2 linked regions of the Diceros bicornis minor genome follow. The protein of the gene in region 1 binds, or shares a complex with, the protein of each later gene. Links are inferred from orthologs where the notes say so. Each region holds a gene or a part of one and is shown in the gene's direction. Other genes may lie near its edges. The genes, in order: ZMYND8 and DBN1.

Evidence for each region.
Region 2: the proteins of ZMYND8 (region 1) and DBN1 are in contact, whole or in part, in a crystal structure (PDB 5Y1Z), measured with the Homo sapiens proteins. The link is inferred for Diceros bicornis minor from reciprocal best matches to the Homo sapiens genes ZMYND8 and DBN1. Residues at the interface, in NP_001350670.1 of Homo sapiens: Gln167, Pro168, Gly169, Thr170, Gln236, Ile237, Val240, Lys243, Ile244, His247, Trp269, Leu285, Gly287, Phe288, Phe307, Gly309, Gln310, His311, Asp312, Ala314, Thr335, Lys336, Ser337, Ile338; in NP_004386.3 of Homo sapiens: Met1, Ala2, Phe6, Ser7, Arg10, Leu11, Leu14, Tyr17, Glu18, Asp92, Ala93, Cys96, Ala97, Ala99, Ser100, Lys104, Glu107, Phe108, Gln110.

What each region holds. Positions count from the first base shown.
Region 1 is NC_080758.1:14,226,650-14,230,554, forward strand, and holds the start of ZMYND8 (MYND-type zinc finger-containing chromatin reader ZMYND8), read left to right. Parts: upstream 1-971; 5' UTR 972-1,010; coding exon 1,011-1,054; intron 1,055-3,905. UniProt on the Homo sapiens protein: Chromatin reader that recognizes dual histone modifications such as histone H3.1 dimethylated at 'Lys-36' and histone H4 acetylated at 'Lys-16' (H3.1K36me2-H4K16ac) and histone H3 methylated at 'Lys-4' and histone H4 acetylated at 'Lys-14' (H3K4me1-H3K14ac).
Region 2 is NC_080740.1:90,683,112-90,687,016, reverse strand, and holds the start of DBN1 (drebrin), read left to right. Parts: upstream 1-1,109; 5' UTR 1,110-1,178; coding exon 1,179-1,543; intron 1,544-3,905. UniProt on the Homo sapiens protein: Actin cytoskeleton-organizing protein that plays a role in the formation of cell projections. Required for actin polymerization at immunological synapses (IS) and for the recruitment of the chemokine receptor CXCR4 to IS.

The sequences.
Region 1 (3,905 bases):
ATTCATTCAGCCATTCCCTGTTTAACATTCACCAAATTATTTTTGAGCACCTACTATGTGCCAGGGAGATAGAGAATTGAACAAGAGGCACTAAATAAGAAATCAATAATAGGAATTTATACTCAGTTACTAAACATGTATTACATATTAAATTATGATTGCCATAAGCACCTTATAGCAGGGGGATCCATTTTATTGAAAAGTGGGTCCAGGAAGGCTACCTTGAAGAAATGAATTTTGTGTTTTTTTTTTTAAATAATTTTATTTATTTTTTTATTTTTCCCCCCAAAGCCCCAGTAGATAGTTGTATGTCATAGCTGCACATCCTTCCAGTTGCTGTATGTGGGACGCGGCCTCAGCATGGCCGGAGAAGCGGTGCCTCGGTGCGCACCGAGGATTTGAACCCTGGCCGCCAGCAGCGCCAGCAGCGGAGCGCCCGCACTTAACCACTAAGCCACAGGGCCGGCCCCTGTGTTGGGTTTTGAAGGATGTGTAGGAGATACCTGATAACAACAGTGATAACTAAGTGGTGCCAGACACAGCGCTAAATAATGACTTTTACTACTGGAACTGATTTAATCCTGATGACGCTCTGGGAGGTGTTATTATCCACATTTCACAGGCCCAGAGAGGTTAAGTTACTCGCACAAGGTCACACAGTGAGTGAATGGCAGCGTTAGGATTTGAACCTTCCAGGCTGGCTGGGGTCTGGCTGGAGCTCAGAGAATGGAGCTGAAGTTGGAGAAGGGAATCCTGCAGGCCCGCGAAGGCTCACTTAAGAATTTGAGACTTTGGCCAGAGAACAATGGGAAACCTTTGAAGGGTCTTAGAGGTGGGGGGTGGGAGATGGGGGTGTGTCCTGGTCCAAATTGAAATTTCAAAAGATCCCTCTGGCTGCTGAGGGTGGGGGATGGGAGCTGCCTGGGGCCTGGGGGCTGGTGGGAGGCTGTTCCCTTCCTGCCCAGATAACAGATAATGGTGGCTCCAGAGCCAGCCACCAGCTCTGCAGAATGGAGCTACGCGGCCGGAATCGACCGTGGAAGACGCTCAGGAGGTAAATCCCACGGGGCTCTGGGGTGGGAGCGGGGAGAGGAGAGGTCAAGGGTGACATCCAGGTCTGGGGCTTGCAGAACTGGATGGGAAATCCGGGAGCTTGGTGGCCTGAGAACACCTGAGAGTTGAGTTTTGACCAAATTGCTCTATGTCTGGGATTTCTTTCTGCCTTTGGTGTGTTTTTTGTTGTTGTTGCTAAATTGGTTCCTATCGCCTTTGAGTGTTTCCTGTCTGTTTTGTTTCCCTTTCTCCATAGTATTTGTTTCTCGGTATTTTAGAGACCAAGAGGGCTTAGACTTCATTTTTGTTCTGAATGTCTTCCTTTTTCAGACGGGTAAATTACTTAATCTCTCTGCGCCTCAGTTTTCTCATCTGTAAAATGAGGGTAATAATGGTACCTGGTTCCCAGAGTTATTGGGAGGATTAAATTAATTAATACCTAAAATGTGCTTAGAACAGTGCCTGGCACGTGGTGAACCTCGATAAGTGCAAGGCGCTCTTCCAAGGTGAAGATGATAATATGGATGCTGCTGCTGTTGTCATGACAACGAGGAGGGCGATGGAGGCAGGGGTGGCTGTGGAAGGAGGCTAAAGCCCAGAGAAGTCACTCCAGTTACTTAGCAAGTATATGTTCAGCGTTTTTTGTACCCGGTAACAACCAAACTATTTAAGAAGTTAAAAGCTCAAGGAATTTACATTACACTCAAATAAGCTTTGAGACACTCTTGAGTGCCAGACCTGCTCTAGACCCTGGGTGACAACAGTATATATGAAAACGACACGTTTCCTGCCTGGAAAAGCAAATATAACAACACTTAATTTTAGAATGTGTTAAGTGCTGGGGAGAAAATAAAACTGCTGTTGTGACATGATGTGATCCCAGGGGGCCTCCTGGAGGAGGTGACATTTGGTCCTGGATCTGAAGCAGAAGGAATAAGTGCAAAGCTCCATAAGGGGTGGGATCTAGTTTGGCAGGAGACAACTGGCACATTTCGAGGACCCCAAAGTAGGTCAAGGTGGCTGGAGGGCAGTAAATAGCTGAACGGGAGAATTAGTTGATTTATATTTCTACATACCGCCATCGATGAAATTACTGGTATTCGACTTTTTAGATTCATATGCAAATTTTAACTGCATGCAGTTCAACCTAATAGATTGTGCAAGAAGTTACAAAGTCCAAATTGGGGCCATGGTTGATGCACTGGAGATCTTGTATAGATACTTCAGGTAAGAAGAAAAGGCCACTCATTAGACAAATATTTATCGAGAAACTATTACGCCCCAGGCCTATGCTGGCCCCGGGAACACTGGTGAACAGATATACAAGTCCCTGCCTTAGTACAGAGGCAAAAAGTAAGTAAACAAAGAAATACGGTGCTTAGATGTTGTGCTAAGTCCTAGGAAGAAAATAACATGGCGACGTCCCAGAAAACGTAAGGGAGTCTGCGTCAGATGGCTGGTCAGGAGAGGGCTCTGGCAAGAGGTGGGACCTGAGTCGAGAAGGAGCCACATGTGAAGGAAGGTGTTCCGGGGGAGAGACTGGGCGCATGAGACTCGAGGTGGAGCGAGCCTGGAGAGGCTGAGGAGGAGCTGAGGACGGAGGCCAGTGCTCCCAGCGCAGAGGGAGGGAGGGGGAGTCATCTTAAAGTAGCCCGGAGGGGGCTCTGCAGGCCATGCTCAGAGCAACAGGATTTTCTTCCGAAAGAGAGAGTTGCAAAGGTTTTCTGTAAAGACCAGAGAGTAAATATTTTAGGCTTTGAGGGCCACATATGGTCTCTGTTGCAACTATTCAGCCTTGCCATTGTGGCACAAAAGCAGCGTGGACTATAAACTAATGAATGTCCATGGCCGTGTTGCATTAAAACTTGACTTGTGGACGCTGAAATTTGAATTTCATATAATTCATGCAGGCCACAAATTTTTATTTTTGATTTTCTTCAACCATTTTAAAGTGTAAAAAGCCATTTTTAGCTAGAGGGCCAGACAAAAACAGGTGTGGGCTGGATTTGGCCCCGGGGCTGTAGTTTGCAGACTACTGTTCTGAAGTCATGGGAAACCATTGGAGGGTTCTGAGCAGGGGAATGAAAGGTTGTGATTTATGGTGGGAAGGTATGAAGACATGGCTCAGTGCCAGAAAGTGGATGTAACTCTGTAGAAACGAGCAATCATTTAGTCATTCAACAAACACCGAGTTCCTGTAATAGATAGTCATGATGCTGCTGGAGGGGACCCAGGATCTGTAAAACACAGTTCTACACTCACAGAGTTTATAACATAGCAGGGGAGTTCGAGAGCGAGATACAAATACTTACAACTTTAAGGTCAAAAGAGAGACACAAAAAAAGCAAAAGTTGCATTGAAAAATAGCAAGGTGGAGGACAGAGGTGGCTGGAGTGGAGTGAGCTGGGGGAGCTGGTAGGAGTTGAGGGGAGGGCATGCAGAGGAATTGGGATTTTATCCCACGTGAGATGAGCAGGCTGTGGAAGGCTTTTTTAATTGTGATAAAATACACATAATGTAAAATTTACCATTTTACCCATTTTAAAGTGTACAATCCAGTGGCATTACGTACATTCACAATGTTGTGCAACTGCTACTATCTAGTTCCAGAACTTTTTCATCACCCCAAAAGGAAAAACCCTGTACCCATTAAGCAGTCACTCCTCATTTCCCCTCTCCCCAGTCCCTGGCAACCATAAATCCACTCTCTGTCTCTATGGATTTGCCTATTCTGGATATTTCATATAAATGGAATTGTACAACATGTGGCTTTTTGTGTCTGGCTTCTTTTACTTAGCATAACGTTTTCAAGGTTCATCTATGTTGTAGTATGCATCAGTACTTCGTTCCTT
Region 2 (3,905 bases), on another chromosome or scaffold:
GGCTCACTCGGCTTGCGGCGCTGCAGAGGCTCCGAGGCGGTGGCGGCGGCGACTCCCTCTTTTCCTCCCTCCTCCTCTGTCCGTCCGTCCACCCGCGCCTCTGTCCGTGCGGCCTCGGTCCGGCCCGCAGCATGGCCGGCGTCAGCTTCAGCGGCCACCGCCTGGAGCTGCTGGCGGCGTACGAGGAGGTGATTCGGGAGGAGAGCGCGGCCGACTGGTGAGCCCCCCGCCCCCGCCCCCCGGCCCTTTGTCCCCGCGCCGCCGCCGCCGCGCCTTTGTTTCCGCGCGGCCCGCCGCCCCGTAGCCGGGAGGGAGGGGAGACCCCGAAATGGTGCAGCGGCCCGGGAGGGCCGGGGAGGGGCTGCCTTTGTGCGCGCCGGGGGAGGGGCCGGCCGGGCGGGACAGTGCCGGGCCCCGAGCGCCCGGAGGCGGCCCCAGTCGCGCGGCGGAGCCGTGGCGGGATGCGGCCCGGAGAGACGCAGGGTCCAGATGTGTGGCCCGGGGCCGCGTGGCCCTGCGGGAGCCCCTTCCCCGCCCCCTGCCCCCGCCCCGGGCCCGGGGGACAGGTGTGCACGGGACGGCCAAGGGCACCTTCGCCACCTTCGAGCGGGCGAGGACCGGGCGGGGATGGGGCGGGGACCGAGCCAGCGGAGCCAGCGCAGCCTGCCTGGCCCAGCCCGGCCCGGCCGCAGCACAAAGGAAAGCCAGGGCGGGGGAGGAGCGGGGCGGGCTGGGGGCCGGGGCGCCCCGCCCACCGGGGGGGCCTCTCCGAGTTGGGATGTGATGGAAAGATGTTCACTGCCACATGGCAACCGCCAAGTGACTCCTGTTCCCCTCAGGGGTCGCGGGGGAGGCAGGGATGAGTCCTCCTCTCCCCGATCTGAAGGGGAGTGCAGGGACGATCTGAAGGGGAGTGCAGGGACGGATCAGCCGGGCTGGGTGATGCCAAGGGGACCCAACTGCCTACCTCGCCCGCCCACTGGGGTCCCTGAGAGGAAGCCGTCAGGCACAGAAATGTGGAGGGAGCCCCCAGAGAGGGATGAGGGGGTGAGTGGATCCACTGAGTCCCTAGCTCCATCACCCAGTGTCAAGGGGCTCGTGGCTCTCTGGTGAGGGAGGAGCTAGGCTGCCCTCTTGCCGCTCTCCAGCTGTTGTCTCCCCTTGAGCTGTGGGAGGGGATGGACTGCCTGCTCTGGAGCCGGAGTCCCCAGGGTGGCAGGAGAGCCAAGGGGTTCCACATTGCTCCATTCAGGAATCATCTTCCCCTAAACACTCTTGCCCTGGGGCAGGTGTCCATTCTGTTCCCTAGGCCCCCTCTTCTTCTGGCAGGCAGGAAACTGAGGCACAGAGTGAGGGCAGGTCTGAGGAACCTCCCTTGGGCTGGCCTCACCCTCATGCTGGGATGGCAGTCAAGTAGGGATACTGACCTGGGGGCTGGAGGAGGGGACAAGATGGCCAGGCGTCCATGCCACAGTACTGCAGCACTGGCGGGCAGCCAGGCCTGGAGGGATGGACGCCAGAGACGAGCTCTCATGTCTTGCAGGTCAGTCATGAGAGAGGTCAGCAGAGGCTAAGCGGGCAGGCGGCCCACCCATTGTCCCAGCCCTGCCCCTGGGGGGCTGAGATCATGGGAGGAGTTCAGGGTAGGTAGCCAGCTTGACCTCATGGAGGAGCTGGCCTTGGGATATGGGCCCTGCCTGGAGAGAGGCACAGCCCACCTCAGAATACCCCCCTCGCCCTCCAGTATGGTGGGCACTGTCCATCACCGCCCCATTTCCCCCTGGTGGCCCATGCAGGGTCGTACAGCCACTGCTGGCCCGCATTCTGCTCAGCAGAGGCCTGGGCTCCCACCACCCAGCAGCATCCATGTGGCCAAAGCGAGTTATTCATCAGTAGTGTACGTCAACCCCCATCTGGGTTGTGTGTGGGACACACACACAGATGCACACACGCACCCTCACACATACACACATTTGCTCACTCCCAAGGGCCCAGATAGCATTTCGTGAAAAGGGTGTGAGGATCACATCCTGCAGAGGGGGCTTGAGTGCCTCCAGCACCCAGCACAGAGCCAGCAGTGCAGGGGGTCTCAAGACTCAGGGGCAGACTCTACATTCAGAGGCTGCAAGAGGGCGTCTTGGGTAATATTGCTGTCTGGACAGAGGAGGCTTGGCACTGCCCTCCCTGACGTTGCCTCTGAGTGGGGGTGTGGGAGGGAGCTCACTCTGAAATGGACCACTGCCCTGGCGCTGGGGGCGGGGGACCCAGGAAGTCAGGTTTTATAGTGGGAAGAGCCCGTGTCGCCGTGGACGTGATACGACTCGCTGTGTGACCACACACAAGTTCCGGCTGCTCTCTGGTCTTCTTGAAAACAGGAGGAGGGGGTTGGCTCAGCCATCTCTGGGACAGCCGGGGCCCTTCCAGCCCTAACGTTCTGAGTGTGATTGTCCTGAGGGGTCTGCCTGCTCTCAGCACCCCCCATCAGCTGACCCAAGGATCTTCCTGCTACATTTTGGCTCCCCCCACCCCAGTCCAGTTTCTCTGGCCTAGGATGGTTTCTCGGAGTCTGTGTCAGTATCACAAACACCTACTGCTGCTGCTCTGGGCTGGCCCCAGAACCCAGAGAGTGATATGTTGATTGATGGGGTTAGTCATCCTGCCTTCACGAAGCTTCCAGTTGGAAGCGTCTGTCTCCAGGAGTGGAGCTAGTGAGACATAGATTCCAGGGCCCCCATCCTGATTCCTTGCGGTTTCACCAGCTCCCACCCTTCCAGGCCCAGGCTGCCTCTGATGTGTTTTCTGAGAAACATGGGTCTAGTGGGATCTGGGGTGGGCTCAGATGCCCCTTCCTGTCCCTGCTAGGGTGTGGTAAGTGCTCTGGGGAAGGGGCCGCTCAGGACAGGGCTTCCTGGGGAGCTGGTATTGGGTTCCTGAGGGACTTCAGCCAGGGGTGGGCATGGGGTGCAGAAGCAGGTCTGGCCTTCCTGAATATGCAAAGGCTTGAGGGTGGGAAATATCCAGAACTGTGTTCGGGATCAGGGAGCCATCCAGTGTGACTGAAGTATGTGGTGTGGATACGGACATCTGGCTGGAAAGGCAGGTGGGGCAGAGCTCAGGGTTGAAGGCCTGTTGAAGGATTTGAACTTCGCTATGGTTTCCACCAGGTAAGGGCTGTGGCCACAGCAGGGAAAGGTAACTGGAGGTGAGGAGGCAAGGGTTTAGAATGGAAGGGCAGGGCAGGTGTTCCTGGGAGGAGCCAGGCCCACAGAGAGGCTGACAGTTCCGCTCAGGGAGATGGGATGTCTAGAGCAGTGTCTGGGAACCAGGGTCTCTGAGTTCTGCCTCAGTGTCTCATCTCATCTGTGGAATGGAGAGAGGCAGACCCTGCTTCTCTGAGAGCCCTTTGTTCCCAGCGGTGGGCTAGGGCAGCCGGACAGGTGGTGGGACAGCTGTGCTGGGAAGCAGCTGCAAGGGCTGGGGCCCGGGCAACAGTTGGACCAGGAGCCTGTGGCCCCACAGCCCACCTGTGTCGATTTCAGAAGAGAGGGATCCTGAGAAGTGGGAGGGCTGGGGGGCCATTTGACTTGTCCTGATCTCATGGGGCTGGACCAGGCCCTCCTTCCTTCCTTCCTCCCTCCCTTCCTTCCTCCTCCCTCTTTCCCTTCCTCCCTCCTTGCTTTCTCCCTTCTTCCTGCCTCCCTCTCCCTTCCTCCCTTCCTTCCTCCCTCTACTTCCTCCCTCCTCCCTCTCTCCCTTCTTCCCTCCTCCCTCTCCCTTCCTTCCTCCCTGTACTTCCTCCCTCCTCCCTCTCTCCCTTCCTCCCTCCTCCCTCTCTCCCTTCCTCCCTCCTCCCTCTCTCCCTTCCTCCCTCCTCCCTCACTCCCTTCCTCCCTCCTCCCTCTCTC